Linked DNA regions of Astyanax mexicanus. The protein of the gene in region 2 binds, or shares a complex with, the protein of the main gene of each other region. Links are inferred from orthologs where the notes say so. Each region holds a gene or a part of one and is shown on either strand. Other genes may lie near its edges.

Region 1 (7,764 bases), on a different chromosome or scaffold from region 2:
TCAGAATTATACTGTATAACCTGAAATTAAGAAATATACATCCATTAGTTCTGTGTGTACTATCCAGAACTAATGGGAATTTACTAACAATTTTCAATCATATTTAAAATACAATAAGCCTTCCTGTGCATGTTCCATCTTCTAAAACACTGAAAATGGGAAATATGAACTTTTTTTCTCAGTCTGTTATTGTAGTTTAGCTTGTATCACAACATGCATTAATTAAATAAAGTGAAACCATAATTTATTGACATATCAACAAACCTGTGGTTGTCGAGCCGAAGCCAAACCCCGTGGGTGCAGCTGTTGTAGTGGGGACTCCAAAAGCTGGGGCTGTTAAACATAAAGCAATAAAAAAAAAGGTAAAAAATAAAAATTAATTGTTCATATCTGTAGAATTTCACACAGGCCTACTCTGCTCTTACATCGTCCTTAATCCTTGTTAGTCCAGAGCAAACTGGGTTAAAACTGTACAACTTTAACAATGCGTGTCCAGGTATGGCGCAGGTTCCCAGACAGGGATTAAAGCCTAGCCTGTGTGGTACAGCATTTTAAATGGAGATTTTTCCATTGAAGGTAAAAAATGATCTACTGATAGGGCTGTAATGATGTATTGTGATAGAAAAAAGTGCATCCTGAGAACAGACGATTCCATGTTCTGTTACTATTAAATCTCACGAGGTTAAATTGTTTGAACACAAGAGGACAGAATTCCAGTGGGCATAAGCAAAGGGTGGAGGACATGTCAATCATTTTAGAATGAAGCCAATCACACAACTGCATTTAGATAACTTTTTAAAACTGATCAGTTTAGACATCTTACACACTGATACTTTTACTCTAGATCACTTAAAAAATAAGAGCTTAAATTAAGCAATTAAACAGCATAATAGTACTAAACAGAAATAGTACTTGTAACACTTAATGATAAATATGTATAAATGGAGCATTATATAAAGTGCATTTGCTGTTGTTTATACAGTTATGAAGAAATTAGTGCACCATTACACCCCTATTGTTTCCACTTGAGAAAATATGTATAATTTTCTTAATTCAGATTTGTTTAAATTATCGTGTGAAAATGGAAATCATGGATTTAAACCCAATCGTGTATTGTTAGACTCCTAATTACTAGGCTTCATCATCCCTGTTTGAGAATCTGAAATATAGTTTCTTTAGAACCCTTATTAAACGTAATGAACTTTGGACAGTGTGGGAAATGAGATTAAATGGGTTACAGTAGAATGATAATGTAAATGATAATGGTTAATAGTATGAATGTGGACAGATGAACTTACTACCAAATCCAGATGAAGCGGTAGTGTTGGTAGTAGTACCAAAGCCAAACGCTGTTGGCGCTGTCGTTTTGGCACCGAATGAACCGAATGAAAACCCTGAAGAGCCTTTATTAACAACAAACAAGACATCAGTGACCACAAGTGCATGAAGAAGCGTGAGGAGGATGGAGGTCTGGGTCTCCTCAGGCGTTTCAGTGAAGCCATGCTGATCAGAAACAGAGCGATGGGTGATACACAAGATCTGAACCGGCCAAACAGCAGAGATACAGTAAAATCACCAGAGCTGAAGCACAATCCATTAGTGTACACGTCTGAAATAACAGTTATATCAGTTATATCAGAGATGATACACGGCTTGATTGATTGATTGACTGATTGATTATGGAAATAGTGGCAGCCCTGAACAGAGGTGAACAGAATGAGGGCTGAGGTTGGTATTGGGTTGAAACGACACAAAAATAGAGAGAGAGACAAGTATAGAGAAAGAGAAAGAGAGAAAGACAAGTTGAGAGAGAAACAGAAGTAGAGAGAGACAAGCAGCGATATCAGAGAGAGAGAGAGAGAACTAGAGACAGTGACAGGTAAAAAGAGAAATGAGAGAAGTAGATAAAGAGACAAGTAGAGAGAAAAAGAAAAACAGGGAGAAGTGTAGAGAGAGAGAGAAAAAGAAAAGAAAGTGACAAGCAGAGAGAAAGAGAGACAAAGAGAAAGATCAATGAAGTGAGAGAAAAGTAGAGAGAAAAGTAAAGAGAAAAAAAGAGAGATATAAATAAAGAGAAAGAGAGACAGGTAGAGAGAAACAGAAAGAGAGAGTGACAAGTAGAGAGAGTAGAGAGAGAACTAGAGACAGTCACAAGTAGAAAGAAAAATAGAAAAAGAGAGGTGTAGAGAAAGAAAGAAAAAGAGTGTGACAAGCAGAGAAAGAGAAATAGAGAAAGATCAATGGAGAGAGAGAAACGTATAGAGAAAAGAAAGAGACTGAGCTATCAATGAAGAGAAAAAGAGAGAAGTAGAGACAGTGACAAGAGAAAGAGATAGAGAGAAGTCAGGAGAGAGACAAATAGATAGAAAAAGAGAAAAACAGAAGAGCAGAGTGACAAGCACAGAGAAAGAGAGAAATAGAGGAAGATCAATGGAGAGCCACCTTAAATTGACTGCTTTCAAAAATATCACAATATGGATGTTTTTTATCGTGTCAGCATTTTGGCGATATTATTACTCTCTGTAATTTACAGTAATGTACTGTAATAAGGTTAAAGCAGAGCGGAAAATTAACCCACCCATCTCACACATACACACTGAATTGTCTCTATCCCTATCAGCAACATTTGCTGTTTCATTTTTTACAACTATAAAGTCTATAAACTGCTGTGATCATGTAACGTTATGTTCTATATGTTACAGTAACGTTATGTTACATATCTTTGCACCTTATCCTTACTATACACATTTCATTGTACCGTATCATTTCATTGCACTGTCCTGTCTGTTAAACTGTCTCTAGTGTGCTGTATTTATTGTATTTATTTGTATATATTTGTATAATAATAATAATAATAATAATAATAAAGCCTTGTTGACTGGAATGTTGATGTTAGCCTGTTAGCTAACCCTACCGCTGCTCTGTGTTTATTACAGCTGCAGGAGCCCCGCGCCGCTCTATCTGACTCTGAGCGGGTTTAGTACAGGGATGTAACTGATAGAAGCTGATTTTACAGCCAGTTTTTAATATAAATATATTTATATAAACTCACCCGCGCTGCTCGAGCCGCCGCCAAAGTTGAACGCCATGCTGCTCCGTCCTGCTGTGTCCGGGCAGAAACTCGCACAGCACAATATTTAGTTCCGGCTAGAGCGATACAGATGTATATTTATTTGTATATGTATTTTTATCCTGGTTTCAGAGAACTTACAGATTTTAAAATACGATTTGACAAGGTACCGCAAATTCTACACAACACCGCTTGTTGGACTATTGATTTTTGTTACAGTCTGGTGAAAATCTCGATTAGAAGTGTTCCATTTATCATATTGTATGCAATAATATTGCCAAATGAATATAATAATATATGTATCTATAGTTGACGGTATCACCCATCTATCTATCTATCTACAAATCTGTAAAATCTAACATTAAACAACAGTTTTCCTGCAACATTTAAATTGAATATTAAAAAGAAACATACACAAATAATATTTATTATAATTAAAATATATGCTTAATTGTTTATTTTTCATTGGAAACCTAATTTACTTTAAATGTTAATTTCTATAAACGTGTTTAGTCATTGTATTTAATGTAGAGAGCGCCCCCTGCTGGTTTTTGATGGTCAGTGTAATAATAAAACTGTTCACCCAACGCTGCTAGACTAGTATATTTATTAACCAGCATCTGCCACACTTTAGTTTAATAGACCAAGCATTTCACCAAGCTGGTCAGACTTTTGGCTTAAAGCATAGGCCTGTTCGTTTAAAAGTGAACTGAGGCAAATTTCCCAAATCAGAATTAATATTTTTATAGTAGTAGTAAAGTAATGTTTCAGTGATCATCTAATAGTCAGTTCTGTAGATATGTATGCAAAAATGTCTAGAAGAAATGCATAAAGGTCATTAAAGCAATTACAGGTCTAATAACTGCTAATCTGACTTTAAGGACATATACAGTAAACTCACAGCTAGATGTTCTGATGGGTGGCGTAAGGTATAATATACTTTTAAAAACACAATAATGATTTATAATTAGTTTATATTCAAAGATTCCACTGTTCTGATTGGATAAAATGAAAATGTTCCTTTAATTGAGACGTTAGAAATATTTCATACTGTGAAGTTTCCTCAAATTTGATTTAAACAATAATAACATACTGTCTTGCTTACAGTAATCTTTTTTCTATGGAACATGTCATTATATCTAACAAATATAATTTATATGCAACACATACAATTTGTTAATTTTACAATATATAGATTTTCAATTTACAGAGGGCAATTATTAATATAATGTCATGTTGGATTAATGACTTGAGAGTAAACCTGCATCCAAGCAACCACCTGGCAACATCTTAGCAACGTCCACAAACACCATAGCAATGAGTACAGATACTATAGTAACACCCTAGCAACCACATTAGTGACCAGCGAGAGAGATTTTAGCTGCATATCCATCCTGATTTTCCTTCAGGTAATGCAATTTTTAGTTTTGTATTGAGATTTCTCCCATATAAACAAACTTACAGACATAAATTCAGACAATCAGGGTCAGAGTTTAATCGTGTTATTACAAACTCAACAAAATAAGCAAAAAACAAACAAAAAAACACTGGAATTTGTATATTTGTATTTATCCAAAGTACAAAACAGTCGGTACACAGAATGAGAAAATTCATCTCATACAATAACCATAGAAATCTACAGAAGCAGTTATCTCTCACATAATAAATCAGTCCCAGAGTATTCCACAGCCCGCTGTTCCTAAACCACGCCCACTTTAACATCGCAGAATAAAGTGAGGGTTTAAAAACGAGGCCAGGCTTCATCTGAACCCGTGCTCTGATCCTGCTGAGGTTCACAGCAGACCTTTACGCTTCATCACGTTCTTCCTCTTCAGCTCCATCAGCTTCTGCTTCTTCTTCTTGTTGATGTTCTGCACCGGCGGCTCGTTCTCCACCATCTCCGGCTTCTCCTCAGCCGGGGTCACGAACACGTCGTCCGTCACGTCCTCCGTCAGCACCTCCTTCACCTCCCTCCTCTTCTCCAGCCGGATCTCCTTCACCATCTGACGCTCCTTCTGCTTAGCTGCTTTGGCCATTCTGACCATGCGGCGGTACTGAAGAATAAAATCAGAAAGAGGGGAGGGGTTAGTCTGGATGAGTAGTGCAGACAAGACAGACAAGTAAAGGTCAATATAGTGTAACTGGATTTAACTCAGTTTGCAGCATTTAAAGTATTTAAAGAAAGAGATTTTTTAAAAATCATTATAATGAAGGAGCTACAGAAGGTTTATTGAGTGATGTTTTTGCTGTGTAAAGAACCAAGCTAATACCCAGACTGGAAGGTGAAGTGCAGTAGTGCAGCTTACCGAGTTCGGGGACTGGAAATGAGGGTTTTCGTAAAGCGTCGGGCCTCCAAAGCTGCCCTGAAATATTTTAATTAGATTGAGGACGAAGCGAGGTCCAATCTCCACCAGAGACGCGTCTTCTTCTATAATCTATTCAAGATAAAAAAAACACACAGTTTATAGTAACAGTAAAACTGAACAGAGGAGTTTAATAATATATCAAATACAGCAGCGTATGAGTGTAATAAAAAACCTGATATATCAAAATATAATTTTGCAATAATGTCTCAAAACCACACACAAATATCATATCAAAAAATATTTTTAGTGTTTTGTTTGTTCTATGATTCTCAACCAGAGCCATATTTATTTATAAAAGGAATAATAGCAACTGAAATAAAGTGAAAAAAGCTATTTATACCCAACAATGGCATTTCTTTGATAATAAACAAATAATAAATTAAATAAAGCCAAATGTATAAATATTTTAATTATTGAAATGTTCGTTTCTATTTACAACAGATGAATATTTACCTGGTAGTTACGGAACCATATCCTGTTGTCTGCAATTGTAAAAGTAAACACGTGGTCCACGAACGGCTGGCTCTTCGGATGGTAGTGAGGCGTTGAAAAAGTCTGCAGTGGAAAAAACAATGTTAATTTAATGCAATAATATAATAATTTTAAAATTCAGAGTTTCACACAGTGACAAATAAGACTACACACTGAAAGAGGAGGAATACCTGTGTGAAGAGCTCCTTCAAAAGGGCATATTGAGGCTCCTTATCAAATTTCTGTAAAGAGAAACAATTTTAATATCAATAATAATAAGTCTCATCCAGCTCAGATAGGGCATGAAGCTAGACACGTATGTATAAATGTACTGATGATAATATTTCGTTCTGTACCGGGTCAAATGACAGCAGTGGTCTGGATCCTTTCAGGCAGTTTCCGGTCATTTTCAGCTCGGCGAGTGTGTGCACTGAAACAGAGCAGCGTGGGAAATCATACAGCGGCTATAAACTGTAACAGTGGGTAAAACTACTCACACAAAACAGAAACAGGCAAAAACATTCAGAAAAAACTGATCAGACCTACCGTTCTGAACCAGGAATTTAGCTGAAGGTCCGTGAGGAACATTAGACACCCTACAACAGAAAATCAGCAGCAGTGAGATTATTTAATCTGTTTATAGACAATGATTTAAGGCTGGTTAACATGAACGTTAATCCAGAAAACCACCGCCGAGCCATACACTGCTTTCCCCCACGCTTCATTTTCCACCAAACTGTTCAAAACAACTACACGTTAAAGCAGCTATTCTTTGAAGCAGCTATTGTTTATTTAGTATATTTCCTCCATTAAAGCTCCCAGTTAATCTCCGTACAACTTAGTATATTAGAGATAGAGATAGAGAAATTATAATACAAAAAAAATAATTAAACAATGTATATACATGTTAAATCTAACATAATATTACTATTTATACAAGGTATTGGTATTAATTATTTTTTAAATTGAAATAAGTATGCTTTTTTCAAGTACATAGAATGAGTTTAAAAGACCCTTATCAGGATTTATTATGGATCATTACATGCAATGAGAAAAAAAATTCATCCTGCATAGAGCAAAAAGATGCATCAAGATAATCGTTTTATAATCACATCACAGACTCTCGTAAGGTGCCTAGAGATTCCTACCCTTAATAAATAAATGCTAATATTACTTATTTAAATGTAGATTTAGCTATGAAATATGTATACTATGAAAAAACAGAATAATAGACTTTTGGTCACCAACTGTGGGTTCATAAAAAAGCTGTTTTTGGAAAACAGGTAAACAGATGAAGACTCACCACATGTACAGATCCATGTTCTTCTTGGCCTCAAAGAAAACACACTTGTTGCAGTTTTTTATTTCACAAACCTGCAGCAAACAAACAATATATTTTAATAATAATTTCATCACTGGACTGAATCAAGCTGAACTATTGAACCATTCCAATATAAAAATCTCACCTCATTAACAACAAACAGCTTATCTTTCCGGTCCATTTTTGTATCTGCAGATGAAGAAACAAATGAGATAAATATTCACACAACCTGCAGAAATGCATGATCCACCCACCCCCATGTTAAACAGTTGGAGAGGTGTTCTTTTTTTTATTTTTTATTTCTCTACCATTTCTTCTCCAAGCCTTAGTGGCTGTCAGGTGGGGACAAATACAGTTATTGTTAGTGGGGTGAATGCTCGACAGTTACCTGCTTTTGAGTGAGGCATCATAGTCCTCAGGTCCTGCATGAGGTGCCTTGTTCTAAAGTTGATTCCTCGTGAGGAGAAAACCAGAACACGCTCTTTGTTTTTCCACTTTCCCTAAAAGAAAGAACAGAAATAATCAACAGTCGAACA
Region 2 (7,378 bases):
ACCAGCAAAGGAACAGTCCATAAATTTGTGGAAAGCAAGTAAATTGACCAACATAGGAATTCAAGTTAATTTAACAATTTGAAAATATTAAGCAATTATTTGGAGGCAAAATATTAAGCAAGCTATTTTAATGTTAGGGCTGACCAAAGTAGAACTGCTTTGTGACGTGTAGACAATATGTCTAAATTATGCAGACAGCACTTTCAATTAGTAACTTTACAAAGGAATACCCAGTGATGGAGTTTAAGCTCCTGAGAAAAAACTAATTTTTACTGCATAACAAAAGGATGGATAGCAAATTTAAAACATATTTTTAAATACAGGCTTGATGAGAAGGTGTCTACTGATCTAAATACTAAACCATCTCCAAGAACCCAATACTGCTAACTCGGCAAATAGGTATGCCTTCATACCTGAGGCAGGTGTGTTGAAAGAGAATCCACTTGTTGGTTTCTGAGCAAACAAGCTGCCCCCAAGACCCAGGGAGGAGGTGGTGGTGGTAGTAGCAGCAGCAGGAGTCGAGGTCACTCCTCCCAGACCACCAAAAGCAAAGCCACCAGTGGCTGCAGCAGGGGCACTGTGAGAGGAAAGGTTATACACTGGGTAAGGGGACACTTTATCTAACAATATTAACATTTCCAAAACCAGGCTACCAGGCAAATCATGTCCAAAAGCTGATCTGGGGTATAGATTTACAAATGTTTTATTAAAAGACATTAAAAATCATCCTTGGGATCATATAAACCTTAGTTCATCAAAAAGTTTCTCAATATTATTTTAAGTAAGTCTTCATATTCTCTGGTGATTTCTGTTGCAGCCATAATAAGAGACTGTGTCCTGCATTTTATATTTTAATTAAAATTAACTGTTACTTCCATAATTTAATTCCTTACAGAACAACAAAATCAGGGAAAAACTGAATCAAAGCAACTAATGAGCTCTTGGACTGTGTGGGGTTTGGTTATATATTAAAGAATATATGTTAAAGAATATAAATTCTTTCTTGACTTGTTCTTAAGTGTTAAGTATCATTAATTTTCTCTATTATAAAAACTTGTTAGGGATATATTTTGTGAAGCTAGCTCCTGACTACTTTAAGATTCTGATTTTTTTTTGTATTGTTGCAACTTAGCGATTAACACTACAAAACTGGATTTTGCATATGCAAAATATTTCAGAAATTTTATTTAAATTAAAAATGAATCTTTTAGCCAAATTATTTTTTTTGCTTTAGACAACCTCTGAGATCATAGGAACCCTATGAACTGTGGATATAGCTGAGATGACTGTTGCATAAAGATCAATATTGTTGCTGTCTTAAGTAAAACATGCATCTCCAAAACAGCAATTTTACTGGAGACATATAAAACTTTCAATGGCAGTCTATGTAAAAAAAAGTTTATTTCAGGTAACTTTGGAGACTTACTATTGGTCCATTCCTCAAGAAATGTGTCAATTTGTGTGATCAAATTATGCAGTAAACAAAAATGGTGATACCTGTTTATTTTGTTACAGCTTCTAAACAGATTGCATGATGAGTTTATTGTCTGTGTTTTCATATGTAAAGATTATTTTAAAACTGTTACTACATTTTATCTGGGTTTACTCTTTGTATTCACTGTTTCAACAGCTCTCTTTCAATCATTTTAACAATTTAAACACTTTAATTAAATGTTTTACAATGCATATAAGTAATTCTGACGTAGCTGATAGAAATCTTTTAAAAAATTATTGCTGCATTCTTTATGGTACATCAAGATTTTAACCTGAAAATATAACAAAAAACGTAGGTCACCTGAGATAAGTACATTTAATTATAATCTTGCAAAATTTAAAGATATAGATCCAAACTGTTCATTTTCAAAAATAGAACATTTATTTTTCAATGTTTTTATTCAGAATATTTTTGGATAGCTCTAGCTAAATATTTTTCTAATAAAGTAAAATATACAGGGTACATATAAAACGTTATATGATAATTATATGAAAATGATATTTTTGTTTTTAACTGTAAGGTCTCTACTGTCAACGTTACTTTGAATCTAATGCTGAATTTGTTTACTGAGTCTCTTAACTGCCTTAGTAACAAAAAAGCTGTGTCCACTATAAAGTACATGAATGAGTTAAATTTGCTGGTTGATGAATGAGATGTGTTGTCATTATGAATGTTTTGTTTGACTTGTAAAACGTGCTGGTTGTATGGTTTAATTGTCTTGGATGGCTGTGTGTGCGCATTATGTTTTGTGGAAATTAATAAAAAAAATAATGCGTCATGTGTTCAAAACGAGAAACATAATACATGAGCTGCTCACTGAATTTATCTGATTCAGTTTTAAATTTGCTATCAATATTCAGAAATGAGTCTGGGCTCTTATGGGATATGGCTGATATTTTTGTTGCTTTCTGGTGTCCGACTGTTAACCTAACCATCTTGATTATGTCGAGAAAACGCCTGAATTAGCCATTATTATAACTAGATTGGGTTTATTAAAATCCAATAATAACATATGTGTTCAAATAACCTAGCTTATGTTAACAGTTACTCATTTAAGATTAGCCACACTTTAGGTGAGAGGAGCTACTAACTAACTTAGCGTTAGCTAAGCTAACTAGCTAGTTAACGGTATTAAAACCACAGTAGCTGGCAATAGTTGAGTATTATAGCGTTATCTGTTATATAAAGAAAAACTATTATTCTCTGCTTGTTGAAGTAACGTTAGTTGATGAACGACGCTGTTGCACTAGTTTCCGTTTAGCCCAAGTTGCTAGCTAAGCTAACGAGCCTAAGCGTTAGCTCAGTATTGCTAAAGTAACGTTAACAACATCCTCTATCGTCTCACCTGGTCGCAGCTCCAAATGAAAAGCCCCCGCCAGTGTTTGTGGATCCTAGAGTGCTTGTTCCAAAGTTAAAGCCCGACATTTTCGGTCTGTGCTTGTTTTACCTTAACAGTCTTTTTAAAAATACAAGCAGGACCGAGGCGCTAACCGGCTAACGCTCAGCTAGCTCTGCAGCACTCCGACCTCGTGGAGGCTTAAAAGGCTAAAAACACAGCCCACCATCTCAGAGAGCTTATAAAGCAAACTCCAACACAGGCCAGAGATACTGAACAGCACACTGAAACTACAGCTAGCTACATTCACCGCCCCGCAACATGCACGGGTTCAGCTTTACTCCTGACAGTCTGTTAAAAAATCAAACTTCTTTCCGCGCTCGAAGCTTCTTCTTCTCCTCGGTAGTAGCGATGCTCGATTCGTGACAGAATCGGTTCACTTGAATCGGTTAACAATAAACTGAACTTTTTTTCTTCATACACCTAAAGCTTTGCAAGATATATAGGTATACTATATTGTTTATCCCTCTGTTTGAGCGGTTTGTATTTAATATATCTGAAAGGATAATTTTTAGCATTCATATTTCATGATTTAAACAAGGAGAATATGGTAAACATAAATAAATAAATTATTTAATAAATGAATGAATAGGTAAATAAAAAAGCATACAAACCTTAACCTGTTTTAGAGATAAAAATATTAATATTTTACACATTTGTAAAATAGAGATATGTAAGTGTATAATATTTTTAAAAAAAATGGAAGTATGAATGGCTGCGGTCAAATTAAGACCAATAATTTGAGGGTAACAGGAGGATTATTTGTAATGAAATTGAAATACCACACTTTAAAACATTTTCTCTGTACACACATTTATAGTGGTCTTTTTCTTAATCTCTTTAAAGGGTTGTGTATTCCAGTCCTGAAATAAATTCAGGTTTTTAAAATTCAAGTATTGACATTTCAGTGTGAATCAGAATCACTTGTTAAATAATAAAAAATAAGCAAGAATAAATAAGGTTTAAGTCGATTTATAGATGCAAGTACTGCTAATGAAAGTTACTTTGAATCTTTGGAAGTTTAATTGTATGATGATATGCTATATATGACACAGAAACAATGGAGTTTTCCTGTGAATCGGTTCAATGAACTGAATCAAACTAGCTATTGACATCACTCCAAGCAGAAGCTCGCTCCCTGCTGGGCTGGAGGAAAGGTTCAGGGCTTCAAGTGAAAGTAAGAGCCATACACAAGTTAAAATTGAAGAAGGAATAGACACAGAATATTCTTAACTAATATTTAACTAATATGTGTACTTAATGGCAGAGTGGTGTTTTAGTTCTAGTTCTGTGTGAGAGAAACACACCACTGCTACACTAGACCTTGGGCTAGACCCCTAATTCAGCTACAACAAAATAGTTAAAGCCAGACCTTATCAGTCAAGTACTGTTTTTAAAATGCTTGCAAGGCAATGCAATGTATTGATATCTGTTGGTAAATAGTAGAGTTAATCTTTTTTCTAACTTGTGACTTTTTATTTTATATTGGAACTGTGTCCTTTGGGACATGTGTATCTAGCTGTAATTATAACTACATATTATAAAATGCAAATATTTTGGAAACAAATTCACTGTTTTCTGTGTTAATCATGATGACAAATCTGAGGTCCTTGCACAAAGACAATGTAGGATAGTTTTTATAGCTTTAATACTAATAAACAATAAAAACCTAAACTCTAGTGATTGGCACCACAAGGGTTCAAACGAAGTGTTGAAGTGTTAAATGTTAATTAAAAAAAATATGTTTTTATCTCTCTATGAAATGCAACTACAATATATATATATATATATATATATATATATATATATATATATATATATATATATATATATATATATATATATATATAAATATATCCATCCTTCCATCCATCCATCCACCCACCCATCTAAATATCTATATCAATCACCTTCTACTCAGTTTTCTAATTTATTGCACATAATTCAGTCACAATCATTGCAATTTATGGCATTATTACTCCTTCAAAAAATAAAACTGATCCTGTCCAAATGAAAGTAATAAGTAAAAGTAAAAGTTAAATAAGCTAACACTTTGTGTTCAGTAAATTAAATTAAATAAATTACTGCAAAAATCTTTTTTTTATTTAACGTGTCATTTCAATTACTTTGTGACTAGTTTTCTTGTTTTAATCCCTCAATAGTGATTTAATCAGTGGCTTCACCCACTCCTACCAGCAGCGGCGAAGCGGACTACAACTCCCGCCATGCCTTGGTGTGTTTTCGCCGTACGTGGCGGAGACACGCCCCGAAGAGGAAGTTGCAGGTCAGAAAGCAGAAACAGGAGGGTGATCAACATTAGGATCAGTGAGCGGAGAGGATGGTGAACTGGGTGTGAGAGATTTTGCACCAGGCAGCTTTTTATTGCTTATTTTTTCATGTGTGAGCTGTCACCCGCTCACAGCCCGCTTCTGCTTTCCTGCTCGATCGCTGAGCACAGCGCTGCTGCAGCGGCCTTATGGAGCACATCCGAACACCAAAGGTAATCAGTGGAGCTGCGAGGCGTCGAGATTAAACTAGTATCTATATAACTAACCCAGAGCCTCTCTGACTGATTCTACCACTGTTACCATCGCGATTAAAGTACATACTTTATCATCAGAGCTTTTCTCAACAGTCTTTACACCAGGCCTGGCTCTGGGCTGCAGTGTTGTGCTCTTTACAGCGCTGTACCGGCCGGGGGGTAACAACCGCTGGGTGTTTTGAATTAGATCTCTGGGTGATGGTGATGATTGATTGTGATTGTGGTGTAATTAGACGTTTCAAAACGCTTAAAGCTAACTCAGTCTTAAAATCAGTTACTATGGTGTCTTAACACTCAAAGATAGCAAATAACATTGAATAAACAATGAATTATGGTTGCATTAGCTAACTTACGTCTTAAAAAAAACAACAACCATAATTTAGCTTTGGGAGGTAGTATGGAAGTTCTAAAACTGGATCAGAAAGGCTTTTAATGATTGTTTTACGTGAAAGGTGCTCTCCAACAAAAAATACAATAATAAGAGTAACACCAGTAGTAATAATAATAATAATAATAATAATAATAATAATAATAATTATAACAAAAGTAGTATTAAAACATTTTTTTACGGACTGAAAATGCAGACTCAATAATATGCTCTCAATCAAACTCAATAATAAGGCTAAAAAACTATGCAATATTTGTAGCCTATAGTCTTTATTAATAAAAAAAGGAAATAATATATTAATATAATAAATTAATTCTGACATCAGAGATTTATGCTGATTAATGCTGGGAGTTCTGTCTTTGTGTGTTGAGAACTAGTAGAGTAACTCTACTTTCTGAGGTTAACAATTTAGCAAAACTGGCTAACATTACCAAGCTGTATTTGTGTAAGTTGCACTAAAATAGACATTTTTCTTTTTAAGAAAACTTGAGATTAATGCGCGGACAATGGATGAGCCAGCTCCATATGAGAAGTTTCTGTTTAAAGTGGGCCAGACGGCCTTAGCGTTTCTTTGCTGAGGTTTGCAGGTTTCTGCATAACCAGCGGTTAGTTATTTATAGTTTTTTCCCCTTAGTCTTGCATGGAGGTTTTTAGACATGTCTTGGATTGGGAACATCCACTTTTTGTTTGTCAGTGTTTGGTGGGCTGCACCTGTATTCAGCTTTTGGGTTAGCCTTTATCTTTGTGGATACTGTTAGTCTGAATGCAATGACATGCCAATAGTCACTGGAACACAGGAACTAGGATTGTGTCTCTTGATTTTTACCATGTCTCCTTCATTAAGTGTAAATGTGATTTCTGCCAGAGTCACTCTAGTCAGATACTACTGGCCCCAATCATTGCCACCTACTGTTCTTACTACTATGAGAAGTAATGCCTTGTAGAGTGTATTTGATGTGACACTGTGCATCTGACTTTACTAATGCTGTTGTGCAAACAAAGTGCATTAATTAGTGTTGAGCAGAGGCTGCTATACTACGGAAAAGGGTGCAAATGGGTCTGTTAATACCATTGATTTTATAAAATACATTTCAAAAGCAGGTGTCTACAAAAACTTTTTAACTGTTTAACAAATTAAGCATAGTTAGTTTAGCATAGTATGCTTTCTATAGGCCGTTATAGCACAGATAGATATATAGATATGACTACATTCTACATTTTTCTCTCTATTGCTCTGACAACATATCGTCATTGTTGGCAATCTCAGACCAATAATATCTTTTTCAGTTCTTGGTTGGTCAGTTGATCATTCCATTGCCCTGATAAGTGATGACTGCCCTTAGACAGGCTGCAGACCAACTGCCTGGCCTAAATGTCAATTCTCAGTCTTGCCAATAACATGGATAGTATTTCTTCATGGTGTCCAGTGGTCTGCTTGTGCTTCTTAATGGCTTGTTGATGATTATTTAAATCCCATTTGTTCACATAATCACTGGCCATCCTTTTGCTTTTTCACTATTGACTGTTTTAAGCATAGTGATCTTGCTGTGAGTTAGG

What was found.
Region 1: the proteins of nup58 (region 2) and nup54 are in contact, whole or in part, in a crystal structure (PDB 4JO7), measured with the Homo sapiens proteins. The link is inferred for Astyanax mexicanus from reciprocal best matches to the Homo sapiens genes NUP58 and NUP54. Residues at the interface, in NP_054808.1 of Homo sapiens: Pro342, Tyr345, Phe346, Leu349, Val350, Phe353, Gln356, Leu357, Tyr360, Gln363, Ile364, Leu367, Leu371, Gln374, Ser378, Ile392, Tyr393, Phe396, Leu399, Ala400, Leu403, Ile406, His407, Val410, Lys414, Tyr417, Tyr420, Arg421; in NP_059122.2 of Homo sapiens: Tyr453, Leu459, Glu462, His466, Leu467, Gln469, Gln470, Gln471, Gly473, Leu474, His476, Leu477, Ile478, Ile480, Ile481, Asp484, Leu485, Ile488, Lys489, Leu490, Val491.

Annotation. Positions count from the first base shown.
Region 1 is NC_064424.1:47,543,107-47,550,870, reverse strand, and holds the start of nup54 (nucleoporin p54), read right to left. Parts: upstream 3,125-7,764; 5' UTR 3,090-3,124; coding exon 3,053-3,089; intron 1,404-3,052; coding exon 1,299-1,403; intron 334-1,298; coding exon 265-333; intron 1-264. Other genes in the region: bxdc2 (ribosome biogenesis protein BRX1 homolog), read right to left, coding at 4,864-5,124, 5,377-5,505, 5,890-5,991, 6,099-6,149, 6,264-6,337, 6,454-6,503, 7,211-7,281, 7,374-7,417 and 1 more. UniProt on the Homo sapiens protein: Component of the nuclear pore complex, a complex required for the trafficking across the nuclear membrane.
Region 2 is NC_064408.1:99,531,310-99,538,687, forward strand, and holds the start of nup58 (nucleoporin p58/p45), read right to left. Parts: upstream 3,250-7,378; 5' UTR 2,921-3,249; coding exon 2,841-2,920; intron 578-2,840; coding exon 414-577; intron 1-413. Other genes in the region: mtmr6 (myotubularin-related protein 6), read left to right, coding at 5,368-5,391. UniProt on the Homo sapiens protein: Component of the nuclear pore complex, a complex required for the trafficking across the nuclear membrane.